Pelodiscus sinensis: one gene and its partner. The protein of the gene in region 2 binds, or shares a complex with, the protein of the main gene of each other region. Links are inferred from orthologs where the notes say so. Each region holds a gene or a part of one and is shown on either strand. Other genes may lie near its edges.

The links.
Region 1: POLR2L (region 2) and GTF2H5 share a complex: the UniProt entries of both Homo sapiens proteins name them as parts of the TBP-based Pol II pre-initiation complex. The link is inferred for Pelodiscus sinensis from reciprocal best matches to the Homo sapiens genes POLR2L and GTF2H5.

What each region holds. Positions count from the first base shown.
Region 1 is NC_134713.1:112,364,460-112,371,918, reverse strand, and holds the start of GTF2H5 (general transcription factor IIH subunit 5), read right to left. Parts: upstream 3,059-7,459; 5' UTR 2,927-3,058; intron 1,979-2,926; 5' UTR 1,900-1,978; coding exon 1,865-1,899; intron 156-1,864; coding exon 1-155. UniProt on the Homo sapiens protein: Component of the general transcription and DNA repair factor IIH (TFIIH) core complex, which is involved in general and transcription-coupled nucleotide excision repair (NER) of damaged DNA and, when complexed to CAK, in RNA transcription by RNA polymerase II.
Region 2 is NC_134714.1:119,981,338-119,989,389, reverse strand, and holds the start of POLR2L (DNA-directed RNA polymerases I, II, and III subunit RPABC5), read right to left. Parts: upstream 3,061-8,052; 5' UTR 2,927-3,060; intron 2,817-2,926; exon of another isoform or gene 2,674-2,816; intron 1,615-2,673; 5' UTR 1,602-1,614; coding exon 1,507-1,601; intron 1-1,506. Other genes in the region: TSPAN4 (tetraspanin-4), read left to right, coding at 3,109-3,299. UniProt on the Homo sapiens protein: DNA-dependent RNA polymerase catalyzes the transcription of DNA into RNA using the four ribonucleoside triphosphates as substrates.

The sequences.
Region 1 (7,459 bases), on a different chromosome or scaffold from region 2:
TCTGATCCATTAACTCGCCCACTTTCTCCTGGAGGAAGTTAACCAACTCAGCCAACACAAAAACATGCGTTTCATCTAGGTCTTGTATGATGAATTTCTTTCCCAGGGCATTTGACTCATCCAGGTATAGTAGGAACTGCTTCATGGCTGGGTCACTGTAGACAAACATGCACCAGAATCCATATTATTGGCAGCGACAAAATACAGCAACACAGTATTAAGTAAAACAATTTTGGAATGATGGAACTTAAAAACTTCTTCCCGTATAACCTCAATCTCAAGATTTGTTTGTTGCCTACATCCATCTTTTTACAAGAATAACTTTTAGGAAAGCCTTTAAGCAAAAGTGACCCTGTTGGGACATTTTACAAATTAAACTGTGACTAGCTAGAAGGGCCCAAGAGGAAGAAAATTGGTAGCCTAACTTGCAGAGAATAATGATTACATTGGTATTATGAAACAAAGAACAGGACTATGTAGCACTTTAAAGACTAACATTATTGTATGTTTTTAGTAAAACATGTATAATGTGAGTTTATGGACAGTTACAGTTTAATATCATTGGTTTACATATTCTAGTTCTTGTCTGATTTTAGCTATATAAACAAAGCCAAGGTCCTTTGTTTTCAGTTTTGATTTTATTAAAAATATCATTGGAATTTTGGTGTTTATTACAAAAATTAAAAAGCTCAAACCAGCTGAGAGGGAAGATGCCGGGGCTTCTCCCCTCTCAACTGTTCCACGGTGTATAAACACAGGCTCTCCCTCGGCCCCACAGAGTGCCCTGGCCAGCACTGGGGCCGCCGCCAGCCGGCCCTTCAGCAGAAAGCCCGCCTGACCAGTCCGCCCCTGCCCCAGTCAGCACGCAACCAGTCCCTCTCCTTCCCTCCAGCACCTCACCCAACCCTCCCTCCCCCTAGCACGTGGATGCTGCTGCTGGTTCCGGTAGGGTTACCAAGTAGACACCCCTCCCCAAAAACCGGACACCTGATCGTGGGTTGGCGGGAAGCAAAGCTGGGGGACCACGAGGCTGGTGGGGGGGCGGGAAGCAGAGCTGGTGGGGGGGGGGGTGCAGCGGCACTGGTCGGGGGAGATCAGGAAAAGGAACGGGCTGGCAGGAAGCAGAGCTGGAGGGCGGTGCAGGGGGGCTGGCTGGGGAAAATCAGGAGGGGAAATGAGGGAGAACCAGCCCGCCGGGAAGGCAGGAGGTGGGGGGCTGAGAGCACAGGGTTTGGTGTGGGGCATTAGGGTTGGAGTATAAGGTTGCTGGGCTGGAGTCAGGGCAGAGATATGGGGGACTCTTGGTAAAGGGTAGGGGTTAAGATGTGTGGGCATGGAAGGTTTGTGAGGGCAGCTCAGGGCAGAAGGTGATAGAGTGAAGGCAGGAGGGGTGGACTCAGGGCACAGAGTCAGATGGGGGGGGCTCAGGGTAGGGAGGTGAGGGAGCAGGAGTCAGGGCAGGAGGCAAAGGGTGCAGAACTCAGGAGGAAGCTGGAAGAGATTATGAGGCTTAAAAGGATGACAATGCTGTGCTGACAACTCCTCCCGAGGGGACAGAGCTTCACTTTCCTGGGACTCCCCGTGCCCTCCCCCCTCCTTTCAGGATGGTGTTGTTGGGGTGCAACAGTCCCTGCTGCTCAGGCAGCTCGCACGCCAGCTGTTTTGGGGCTATCTAGATTATAAATTGCAAACAGTTGCATACTGGTCTAAGCAGAATTTGCCTAAGACTTCTGTTCAGTGCAAGAGGCACAGGAGAGACACTGAAGGAAGCAAAGCTTCTACATGTTCTGTGAAGTGGCTAGGATGTTTGAGGAACTATACAATTAAGAAAAGCTGAATTTCAACTGAAGACAGAAGTACTAACCATTCTATAAGAACACCCTTCAAGACATTAACCATCTTCTCCAACACACTTAGAAAGCCCAAATGTGGCAGAAAATAGATCTTGCTTTGAATTATGCTTGTAGGCAGAGAGAAACTGAAAAGAGAAAAAAATAACTGATTTTTTGTTGACCAAAGTGGCCATTCAAATTTGGCATGTATACTTTTAAATCACTGTAAGATTAGTGAAAATTACATGAACATATAAACAAAAGCTTACATCATAAATCCTAGCCTACATGATAATCTTACTTTTATAGAAGAGTGTGTCACATTTAACAGATGAGGGGAGACTGTTTCATGCATTACAGTAATGAAATAGTGATAGAAATGTAGCCGTGTTAGTCTGGGGTAGCTGAAGCAAAATGCAGGACAATGTAGCACTTTAAAGACTAACAAGATGGTTTATTATCATCTAATAAACCATCTTGTTAGTCTTTAAAGTGCTACATTGTCCTGCATTTTGCTTCAGTAATGAAATAAACATACTAATTAGTAATACAATCTTCTATCTTGTGAAGAACTACAGAAATTATGCAAATAAGTTATACAAAGAAATAGACAAGTGAGTCTCACGATAAGCAGGGCTTCTAGTTTTTAAGGGTGTGTGAGACTCACTTCATGTAGGGGTTTATTTTAGCAGTTTGAGTTGTATATAGACCCCCGCAAAGCGGTTTCTTTTAGCTTTTCAAGCACATAGTGTAACACGTAGCGCACGTTTCACACACATCTAAACTATACAGTCTCACTCATTACAGTGTCTATATCGCAACGGGCAATCACTGCAGCGTAATGCAGCACCCGACACCCAGCACCGGAGAGCACCAGGGAACCCCTCGTGCGCACCAACAGACCCCCCCCCCGCCCGCACACACACTGCTGCTCCCCGCAGACTAGCCCCCGGCTGCGGGTCTATCGGGGCAGGCACAGGGCGGCTGCGCGGGGGGGGGGGGGAGCAGGTGAAGCCGATGGGGCTGCGCCAAGGCCGGGGGGGGGGCGGCAGCGCGTGAGGCCCGATACCCTCCCTTCGCGCGCCCCCACCTACCCGCGGCCGCCCCCTCACGACGCAGCGAGCGGCTCCCAGCCCAGCAACCGCGCGAGCCCCCAGGCGAGAACCGAAGCGAGAGTGCGCACGCGCGGGCGCCGCGGCTCCCTTCCGGCCTCGCGCTAAACGGCGATTGGCTCAGGCCCGTCTTGCGTGGTGACGACACACGGGGGCGTAGTTGACAGCTGTCGGGAGACGGGAGAGAGAGGCAGCGGCCTGGGAGCGGGGCAGGTAATGGGGGGGGGGTATTGGCCCATCCACGTGTGGGGAGCGACGCTCTGGGAGCCCCTGTGCTGGGGTAGCGGCGGGGGGGGGGGGGCACGGGAGCTTCATAGGGTGCGGGCTCTGGGCTGCTTGAAGGGAAGCTGGGCTGCAGGTGGGGCAGGGTAAGTGTCCAATGCGGGGAGCAGCAGCGTGTGTGTGTGTGGGGAGGGGGGGGGGCAGCAGCTTATAACGAGTCTGACCCAAAATGAATTTGAAGAGCAACTAGAGAAGAGTAAAACTAACAAACAGCAAACTAAAACACGCTGCAGCAGCAGTGGGAAACCTGCCCAGCGGAGCCCTTTGGCTGGGTGATCAAGGTGTCATAGAAGCACTCAAGGAAGACAAGGCTGTTGTGGAGATGTTAAATGAAGTTTTTGCAGGGGGCTCCTGCGGGGTCTTATCAGTTACAGGCTGGGGCCCAAGTTCAGGCAAACTGGTTAGAACAAAAAAGTAATTATTCAACACACAGAAGCACATGGTATGTAGAGAGTAAACATGGCTGTTGGAAAAGGGTATCATACTTTACCAATGACTTAGCATTCTTTGAGAGTATCAGATGGCAGGATGATCCAATGGATATAGCATACTTGGACTTTTATTAAAACCTTGACAAGGTATCTTACCAAAGTCTCTTAAGCAAAGTAAGCAGTCATGGGATATGAGGTAGATTCTCTTTTGAAAACAGTAACTAGTTAAAAGATAGGAACTGTTTTTTCTTCACACAGCACATGGTTGGCCTGTGGAACTGCTTGTCAGAGGAAGTTGTGAAGACCAGGACTTTAACATGGTTCAAGAAAGAACTAGATAAACTCATGGAGGTTAGGTCCATCAATGGCTATTACCCAGGATGGGTAGGAATCATGTCCCTAGCCTCTGTCAGAGGCTGGTAATGGGTAATAGGAGAGGGATTGCTTGATGATTCTCTGTTCTGTTCACTCCCTGTTGGGCATCTGTCATTGACCTCTGTTGGAAGGCAGGATACTGGGCTAGATGGACCTTTGGTCTGACCCAGTTCTTATAGCCATTCTTATGTTCTAGCCAAGGGATAAGAAGAAAGAGAGCAATAGCCCTTCCCACACCAAATATCTCTACTATGACTGCTCATATTCAGCAATGATCTGGAAAAGGAAGTGAAAGATGATGTGGCAAAATTTGCAGATTAAAAAAAATTACAAAAGATAATTTAGTCCAAAGATGACTGTGAAGGGTCTCAAAGGCATCAAAGAGTCTCAAAGACATTTCATAAAACTGGGTGACTGTGCAACAAAAATGGCAGATGAAATTAAATGTTAATAAATACAATATTATTCACATTGGAAAACATAATCCAAACTACCTGTATATATAAAAAATATTAAGGTCTAAATTAGCTTTCACTTTTCAAGAAAAAGATCTTGTAGTCATCATGGATAGCTTTCTGAAAACATCTGCCCAATGTGTAGATAGAGTAAAAAAAAAAAAACTAACAATGTTATAAACCATTAGGGAAAGGTTAGTTAAAAAAACACAAAATATAACAGTATCCCTTTATAAATCCATGGTGCACCCATCCCTTGAACATTATGTGCAGTTCTGTTTGCCCCAACTCAAAGATATATTCAATTTGCAAAAAATACAGAGGAGAGTAAAAAATGATTAAGACAATGGAACAGATTCTGAGGAGAGAGACAAAAAAACCTGAGACTGTTCAGTTTAGAAAAAACACAGCCAAGGGGAGATATAAAATTATGAACGAGGTGGAGAAACTTGATAAGAAAGTTTTATTTATGCCTTTGGGTAACACAACTAGGGGTCACCTGATGATTTAATAAGCAGCAAGTTTAAAACCAGCATAAGAAAGTGTTTCTTCAAACTATGCACAGTCAACCTGTGGAATTCCTTTCTAAGGATCTTGTGAAAACCAAAAATATAAGTGGGTTAAAAAAGAATTCGATAAATTCATGGATAACAGATATATCAGTGGCTGTTATCAAGAAGGATGCAGTTCCATTCACAGGGTATCCCTAAATCTCTGACTGCCAGAAGCTGGAATTGGAGGACAGGAAATGGATCACTGTTTGTTTGTTAATTCCCTCTGAAGCACCTGGTACTGGCTGCTGTCGGGATGGAGGAAAGGGAGATAGATGGGCAATCTGTCTGACCCTGTATAATCATTCTTATGTTGGGGGGGTCTACGCTCAGGAAGCTACGGGGGGGGGGGGGAGGATTCTGGGTTTGGGGGAATACAAAGGGAGACATGGCTTGTGCCCTTGTTTTGGCCCTTGGTGATAGGTAAAATGGTTCTAGAAAGAAATCCGGGTTGTTCTACACTCAACCTTTTAACAAAGGCATGTTCAGTTGCTGTCAGCCGACAGTCAGGGCAGTATGTGTGTGTGTGTTTTCGAGAAAAGGTTTAATGTCCGTGTCTTTACTGCTAGGACCGGGGTCCCGTCGCAGAGGGTAGCCAGCAGGCCAACAGATGCCCCTTTATAGAAAGAGCTTATTACACCTTAGATTTTAGCTGCTAGAATGCAAGATTCCTTCGCAGCGGGCAGCCTTAGGAAAAGACTGAGAGGTGCCCCAACGGACCTGTCACCTGGGAGTGACACAAATCCAAACGCCCAAGCTCTTCCTATACCTGTTCCTTATGACTGGCTGAAGTTCTTTTAAATTGTGCTTGGTTTTGTTACAGCAACTGAAGGAGTCAGGTTAAAAACTTAAACAGTTACAGGTTTATTAAAAAGACTTATAAAACCATATGGTTACAATGGCTATTGCTCTCTTTCTTAACTGTTAGCAAATACAGATTTTAAAAATAGTTACAAAGAAAATAAAGATAGAAAATAGAAATAATGGTACTAAGTGACAGCTTAATCTTTAAAGAGCTCTAAATCTATGTGTACATTTACGACAAAGGACCACATCCAGGTACAATTTTTACCCCCTTCTGTGCCTCTCCACTTAAGCATGTCAGGCCAGGGCCGGTCTCTCAATTCCTAGGAAAGACGAATACGAGGTGGGCGTTCCTGTAGAACCTTGGGAGATCAAACACCTAACCCGACCAGCAGATAGATGGTAGATTGACACTCAGAGTAAATGTGCTGCTGGACCCATCTTTATATCCCTGGGGGCCCATATCCTCTTTCTTATCTAAGAGGCCAAATTGTACTGGTCCGTATTGTGGCGCCAGTTCTTACAAGCAAGTTTCAAGTTAATTTACACTTGCAAGAGAGATAACTAAATTGTGAGTACTAGACATTTTTTTTACTGGGCGAGAGATTCCTTCCCCCCCCCCCCCCCCCCCCGCGGACGGCTGTGTGTTCGTATCAATATGGGTTAAGTCAAGGGCACTCCTTGGCAGCCTCTTGGTCAGCAATTGGCGTATCTTTGTTTACAGCCATTCACGGTCACACAGCCTGGGCCTTCTGCTCTGTGTGCCCTGTATGCTCCAGACAAGCAAAAATGGATGTTACAGGGAGGGTTCCTGTCTGGCTACAGTTGCTTTGAGTAGAGACTCTTTTTCTGAAATGTTGACTAGATGTTTGGCATTAAATAGTACTTAATAAAGGCAACACAAGTATCCAGTCCTAAGCATCCTGACTAAAAATCACTTTCTCTCTCAGTTGCTCAGCTTTCACTCTGTTGCCTCTTGTCTGCTGTTCCACTAATTTTTTTTGGGGGGGGAGGGAGGAAGGGGGGGCTGTTGTAGCGTCTCCAAGGTTAGATAAGGCCTGATCTTATAATATGAAGGAGGAATGGGGATGAAGCAAAAATAAAAATAATCTTTTGGATTTCATTAACATGTTTTAAATAAGTAAAAAGCACATAAGATCAATTTTTCCCTTTGCATGGCATTTTAATGTGTCTGGTTGTTCCTCTTCGTGACATCAGGATGCTTATAGCTATAAAATTGTCTGGGACTAAAACTTCTTGCTTCCTGCATCATTCTAGTGATTCTGGAATTCTCTTGTTAGGACCTTACATAATTTTGCAAAAGTGAGTGTTGTCAAATCATACTACCATGTTTGTCCTAAATTCCAGTAGTTAATAGCCCTAAACCCTGTGGTGAAAACAGGCAGAATGCTAACTAAACTTTTGGGTTGGAGACAGATCTGTTCTAGAGTAATCACTTGTTTTTCTGCTTGTAGAAGAGATCTGTGAAGCTCAAAAGCTTCTATCCTTCACAAACAGAAGTTCATTCAATTAAAGATATTACCTCACCTACCTTGTCTTTCTTGTTCTTGTCACTGAAGACAAAAGAATGACAAAGGATAGGGGAATAGCGGTGTT
Region 2 (8,052 bases):
GACTATTCCATAGTCTCCAGGGGGGAGACAGCCAGTGAGCCCCCTACCACTCCGTACTGCTGCCTCTGTATCAGAGGCAACAGAGTGGGATGGCAACAGCTTTTTCCCCCCTATCTGTGTGGTTGAAGGAATGTGGTGTAGGCTTTATGGTGAAGTCTCCATGTTAGCTCTCCCTTCAGGGCAGACAGGGTAGTTTTTTCTAAATTGTTGAACACTTACTAACTTTCATAAGATGTGAGTGCCCAGTATCCCTGGGGGGTAAAAAAAAAAAAAAAAAGATGAAAAAAAATCAAAAAAAAATCAAGCATTTGGTGCCCTTGTTCACTTTACAGACAAGATGTAGAGCTAGTAAAAAGTCCTATATTTAGGAGACAGGGAAAAGCAAACTAAACCCTGTGAATAGTTACATACATAACTGTATCAGAGAGGTAGCCATGTTAATCTGGATCTGCAAAAGCGACGAGGAGTCCTGTGGCACCTTATCAACTAACAGATGTATTGGAGCATAAGCTTTCGTGGGCAAAGACCCACTTCCTCAGATGCATGCGGTAGAAATTTCCAGAGGCAGGTATAAATATGCAGGCCAGAATAAGACTAGAGATAACGAGGTTAATTCAGTCAAGGAGCGTGAGGCCCACTTCTAGCAGTTGATGTGGAGATGTGAACACCACATCAGCTGCTAGAAGTGGGCCTCACGCTCCTTGACTGAATTAACCTCGTTATCTCTAGTCTTATTCTGGCCTGCATATTTATACCTGCCTCTGGAAATTTCTACCGCATGCATCTGAGGAAGTGGGTCTTAGCCCGCGAAAGCTTATGCTCCAATACATCTGTTAGTTGATAAGGTGCCACAGGACTCCTTGTCGCTTATACATAAATTTAGGCGCTACCCCAATAAAGTCAATGCATAAGCACTGAGGGCCTGTCTACAAAATTAGGTCAACCTACAGCCACCACAGCAATTAAATCTGATATCACTGATCATGCTACCTTCTTCCTACCAGTGGGGCACCGACAGCAGAATTGAGTGGCACCTGTATTCCTGGGGCTTGAGGTCAATTTCATAGCAGAAAGCTTACCAGTAGTGAAATGGACATTCTTGTCCGTTTTATGGCTGCTGTTATTTCATGCCCTCTCCAGCTCTGACTGTCAATACCAGGGCAGGAGGCTCAAGGTATGAGCCCGGTGCCCAGCTGAATGTGCAGGAAGTGTGGGGTAGCATCAAAATGGTGCCTGACTGACATGACAGCTCAGGCTGTTAGCACTGGGGCTTGGTCTCCAGTGTCTACACAGATACGGTGCTACCTAAGCACCATGTCTCTCACAAACATGGAGTTATTAAGTTGATGTAGTGGGTGATTTACAGCAGCAGAAGCATCACTGCAGTGTAGACAAAGACAGTTAGGTCAACATAAGACACCTTATGTCACTCTACTTCCCTAGCATAGACCAAGTCTCAGTAACTGTTTGCAAGATCAGGGCCAAGGACCATAAAGAAATACTTACCCTTCTGTATATTCTGCTTGGAGAAGGCCAAGATATGCTTCCCACTTATTTCCAACTATTTTGCCACAAGTGAAGCATCTGACGGGAATAATCATTTTCTTGCAGTGACTGTCAAAACATTAACCAAATAACATGGTTACCACTTACATTTACATCTTGGAATGCATTTGATGTATCTGTAAAATATCATTACGTAAGTTTTTCACACTGGGCAAAAGGGAGGTGGGAATTTCAAGAGTACAACACAGCTGAAAGGGTCAGTTCAGGCACCCAAGTATAAACAGTCCTGTTTATTTTATTCACACTCCTGGATTGTTAACCTCATATAAGAGCATCTATGCATTAGTCTTTCAGTTCAGACACCGATAGTTAAAGGCTATGGCAAGTTTCAGTTCAAACAATTTTAACAAAATCCTCTGATGCTTTGCCCACACTTAGAGTGAATAGAGAACAGGCATTACAGACCTAAGTAGTTATGGTGGTGGAAGGCAGGGTGCACTCTCATTCCTCGTTTGTATGCACCTACACAGCACAGTGAAAGGCTTGGGCAGCTCTCCATTGCTAGAGCCTTTCCCTCCAATAGTGAATGGTAAACTTGCTAAGAGACCCATGTAGGTAGGACTCTTGGGTCACCTAGGTAAGATCTTTGACTTGTTTAAGCAGAGCATAGGCACCTATGTGCTACAGGCTGCCCTGTCAGTCCAACCTGGATTAGAAGTTGAGAAACAAGGGGGCAGTAGCTGAGTGGATCAAGTGCCATATCCAAGCAGCGTTTTGCAGGCAAGGCGGGGAGGGGAGGCAGCTGCTCCTGGCTGGTTTGTTCAGAGTAGGGATGTAAAATCCCATTTAAATCAGCTAACCGGTCAGATGTCACATTTAACCGATTAGCCCGGATTCCCCCTGCCAAGAAGGGCACGAGCAGCCCCCACCCACTGCTCCAGCCCAGCCGGGCCGGGCCGGGCCAAGCCAAGCCCGCGGCGGCGGGGGAAAGGAGGGGGGAGGGAGCGTGCCAGGCAGCTGTTAGCCAGTTGCATCTCCAGTCAGAGCAGGCACAAGAGGCGGCGCCGGGTTTCAGGATTTTCAGCGAGACCCCCCCCCCGGGTCCCTGAACTCCGCACCGCTTCCTCACGGGCCCTGGGCTCGCGGGAGCCGCGCGCTCACACGCACCCACGCTGCGCTGGCCAGGGGCCATCTCGCCACGCGCCGGGAGCTCGCGCGCGCAGCAGCCGGACACTCGAGGCTCCCGGGAAGACCGTTGTGGCGCGCGCGAAGCCAGAGACCGGGGGGACGCCAGTCCCGGGGGTGTCTCTAAGGCCAGAGCGCGGGTCGTTCCCAAGCAGGTTGAGGGCCCCGGGTAGTGGGGCCCCTCAGGGGAGGGAGCCCGCGGAGCTGGTGGTTGGGTCTATCGCTGTCCCGTTACCTCAGCAGGCCGCGCGCCGCGTCCGGGAAGTGCACTCCAACTGCAGCAGACTTGTCCTTCTGCCGGCGATACCACTCCTCCCTATTTGGTGGGGGGGTGTTCCGTACCCAGGACGCAACAGTGCCACCGGAGATGATAGCGGCCGACCTACGGCCTAGCGCGTTCAGCTCCCCGGCTTCGGGATGGTACGTCCCAACTCGACGGCGTCTCCCTTGGCCCAAGATAGTCTCGTTCGGGGAGCGTTCGCGATTCGCGTGCGCGGCTGCGGCGCTGAGTGGCAGCTGGCGCTCTCGGAGTGTTCAGCAGCCTCCGCAGTAGCTGGAGCAGCGGAGCCCAGAGGCTGGCGGCAGCTGCGGCAGCGGCGCAGTGTCAGGTATCGCTCTTCCTTTCTTATGCTTCTCGTGCGCTCTCCGCAGCGGGCGGACACTTGTTGCTCGGGCTTTAGTAAAGGGACTGAGAAGAAGTAAGGTCCCCCTCCCCAGCTAGTGCTTGGGTTTGTGCATGAGTGGAAAGTGCAACTGGTGGCTGCAGCTCGGCACCAAGTTGTGCGCCTGGTGGTGGGGCAGCAGGGAGGCGAGGGAGAGCTGGAGAGGGGCTTCTCCTGGGTCCTTCAGGGGATTCACCAGCCTCTGCTGTTTCAGGGCGGGGAGAGGTAGGACAAGACGCGGGGTGTTTCTGGGTACCGCTCGCTGTGGGATGCCTTTGTCCCTAGGGCTCGGGAGTGATTTGCGAAGAGATGCTCCCAAGGCGGCTTGCAAACAGTGATGACACGCTAAGAATTAAAAACAAAAACCCCGCAACCAACCAAACAACAAACCCCACAGAGTGCAACGTGGAGAGACTTAAAAAACACAGACAGCCACACAAAAACTGCCCTTGGAAATTAATCCAGCCTGGTTTCACAATGCTGCCTAAGACTTTATTAATACCGTGCTTTCGTTTCCTAAGGGAAGGAGTCTCTATCCAAGCCAGATTTTATAGAGCTGATATTTGATGCCCCCCAAAACCCTTATTCTGTACAAATACAGATCTTTCAAGAGGAAGTAACCATCCCAAAGGTAACCGGAGGTGTGCCCCAGGGCACCCTACTGTTGCAGAGAGGGAAGTCTGATGTGCTACTTTACATTTCAATAATTTTTGTATTAAATGTGAAGTTTCTGAATTTGGTCACCTACAAATAATTGTGGAGGCATTTGTATAAAAAAGGCATATATTCTGCCAATTTTAAAGCGGACATCAATTGTTGATAGCAAGCAAATGGGGTTAGTGGTTACTAATAATATGTAAAAGTTTTAAATTAGAAATTATTTAAAAAATCCAAGTTACTTGTCACTGTGTACAGTTTATCCTTCTCTCAGCTTGACTGAAGCAAATCAGTGTGGATTGTTTTACTCTTGTTTATTGTCATTTTCACTTCCATGTTGTTAGTGGTGAATTTTTAATCCTGGAGGGGGATATTTACTGGTTCAAAACAACCGTTTTAATTAAAAGGGAAACAAAATAGGGAGAGTTATAATTATTTTAGTTCAGTAAGAGAGTTCACTTTTACATAATCTAAATTAGAGCCAATTAAACTTGAAAATGGCCCTATAAGGGACAGATGTTAATGTGACTCATGTTGTTAATATAAATTTAAAAGACAATGTGTGGCCAAAGCAAGAACGTTCTAATTTAACACTGGCACACACCATTCTTGGCCCATTTCCTTGTGCCTAGGCAATAGAACTCCATCATGCACTGTTAGGAAGCATCTGCAATATCTAGGGAAAAGGACAGGGAAAGAAAGGGTCATGCCCCACTGAGAAGGAGTTGCAGGGCTGGGTAGACAAGGTGAAAAACGATCACGCTGTGTACACCAAAACTTAAGAGGCTTTTGGTAATGTGTTTTTGTTGTGCTTAGAGAATGCAAGCAGGTATAGTTGCTACCTGCTTTGAGGGCACATTCTTCTGTTTTGGGTAGGAAGGTTGTGGGATAGAGAATCAGTATGAATATTGATCATTTTTACTGCTCACTTGTGTTACAACATTAACATTATGCTAATTTTCTTTATTTGAAGTGGTAATTTTCTGAAGTTATCTGAGATTTAATACAAAGCATAGTGTGGTCCCATTACTGCCCAGCATATAAATAATTGTCTTAATGCTCAGCTTATGTTAATACATCTTTCGTGACTCTTTTTTAAATACATGGATTATTGACCCAATACACACAAACTCTGGACTGAATCTGAACTGTAGAAGAGCAAATACTTCCATTATAACAAATGGGTTTTGGGATTGTTTATAAGTGGTTTTACAATTCTAAGCACTAACAAACAGACTATTATTTTGCAATCCCAGGAACAATAATTATCTTCAATAAGATAACGGAACAGAATGAATTGACTTGGCATCAATGCGAACTGCTGCCAGCCATAGATTCTTAGGCCAATGAGAACTGTTTGCATGTTTATTGTATATTTTTCTCCTTTGATTTTGTGTCTGTGGTGAATTTAGAGATTGTGATTTGATACCTTTTTAGGACTGGGGCTCTACAGAAATTCTCTCGCAGAACTGTGAAGTGTATTTGCAGGCAGAAAGTAGGGAGGGAGAGTGAGAGGGGAGGTACTGGGTTTTCGTGGCAGAGTGGCAACACTACAGGTAAGTCCAGGCTTTGCCTATAAGTTGTGGTAATTTTAAGGAAGACAAAACTGAATTTGACAGCAACTTTGAGTTAATTCTCAGCTGCTGCATCATAACATAAGAATGGCCATACTGGGTCAAATCAAAGGTCCATCCAGCCTAGTACCCTGTCTGCCAACAGTGGCCAAAGCCAGGTGTCCCAGAGGGAGTGAATCGAACAGGTAATGATCAAACAATCTCTCTCCTGCCATCCATCTCCACCCTCTGACAAACAGAGGCTAGGGACACCATTCCTTATCCATACTGGCTAATAGCCATTTATGGACTTAACCTCCATGAATTTATCTAGTTCTCTTTTAAACCTTGTTATAGTCCTAACCTTCACAACCGCCTCAGGCAAGGAGTCCCACAGATTGACTATGCGCTGTGTGAATAAGAACTCCTCATGTGCATCTTCATCAAGAAAACAGCACTGTGCTCTTGCCATAGTGTTACTTTTAACATTAGAGGTGTCCTGTGTGTACAGCCTACCCTGGCTGTGTGATGGGCTTAATGATCTAATACATCTCTTATGTCTCTAATGACTTTGATCCTATGAAATTTAAGTATTGTTGTTTTCTGTGAACCATATAGACTGCTACATTTGAGAACACTTTATGCAGAACGTTGCATGTCCTTTGTTTTCCTGAGTGTATTTGCCTGCCAACCCACAACGGGCTGTTTAAAAGATTTGTGTGTTGTGTTTTAAGAAGCAGAGTCAGTAAGGTATTAATCTTGGCACATTTTTATTAGGGTGATTTTTTGCTACCTTATTGGGTGGAATTCCCCATTTCCAGCACCTCTAATCTTAAGTGTTTTATAGGTTCTAATACCAAACCGTACTCTTTGGTGCTAAATTGAATTGGGTCTTCCACATAAATATCTCCTTTTGCAAATACTGGAGTTCTTTATGCTCCTAGAAGTGTGTGGTTACATCTCACGCCAAGAAGTTTTCACGCTCTCCCATTCTCCAGGTCTCCTACTACTATCAGTAAGTGGCACTCCCCAGATCTTTGTGGCTTTGGACTGTTATTGGAGGTTGTAGGATGCAATATCAATTGTAGATGAGCCTCTTAAGTTCATTGTTCGGGAGCACTCTGGCAGGGTCACTAGTAGTGAACCATATGAAGCAACAGGTTCAGGGATTCTGCATGAGGTTCTGACTGGCTAAGTTACTTCTTTGAGGAGTAAAGAAGTGTGATGCCAACCCCCTCCAAAAATGTGTGTGTGGGGTATATCCTAAAGCAGACTGCCCATTGTGCTGCTTTGTTGTGAAACTGCAGACATATGTATAACCTGCCCTCTGACATATGCATTACATTTCTTAGTTACATTTAGATTATCTTTGCTGTTGGCATAGCTTTCAAAGGCTACTGGTGTTTGCTTTGCCACTAACACTCTTGGGGTTAAACACACCTTGAGGACTTTGGAGGGAGGCGGACCTGCAAAGTACAGCTGGGCTGAGGTATAAAATACTATAGCAATGACCCATTATATCCTACATGTTTGTTTAAAAGGCAGATGTTCCTTTCTACTCTTTCCTGTAAAGCACTTTCTGTGGAATATTGCAGTCTGCTGCTCGTTGCCCAGGCCACCTTTGCTTATCCAATGAGAGGATTAAAGAATATTCAGCCAATTAAGAGACCTGCATGCACACTCCCTAAAGTGGTTTATAATGTGTTGAGGGCAAGTGAATTTCTGCATCTAGCCATGTTGAAAAGCTGTGTCTTCTGTGACCTTCTCCTTTTGTAGTTTGTACTGCAGGATGGTGGCTTAATATATGCCTGCTCCTCCTGCTGGCAAAGTTCAGAAACTGAAGGCATGTGTCTGAAGGCTTTCTTTTCATAATCCCTTGGGGGGGGATGAGGGGAGAGTGTGTGTGTGTGAGATTGTACTCTCTGGCATGTAGGAACTGATTTGCTGCTGCCTTGCATATTGTGTGAACATTTACACCTGTGCAGTGAGAGTGTATTTCTGAATTGACATTGACTTAACATGGGGTAAATTACCATAAAAGATGTAGAGTCACGGCGTATGCCGCCTTTTGTACCTGATTTGACCAGGTGTGGGAAACTCAGATTGTATCTCCATCACAGCCTACACTTGGTAAAATGCAAAAGAATTCTTTTTGGTAAGTGTTCCTTTGACATTGTAGACCAGGTAGTCTTGACTGGCACCCTTTTAAAAATCTGGCGATATGTGGCCCTTTGTCCAGTTAGAAGCAGAAGGTAGACTTTTCCTGCTTCTTTCCTTAGTCATTCAGGGTGTATCTAGACTACATGGCTTCATCGACGGAGCCAGGTAGACGAGTTTACTCGGCAAAGGGAAATGAAGCGGCGATTTAAATAATCGCCGCTTCATTTACATAAAAATGGCCACTGCGCTGTGCCGACAAACAGCTGATTGGCACAGTGCGGCAGCCATTTTTATGTAAACGAAGTAGCGATTATTTAAATCGCCGCTTC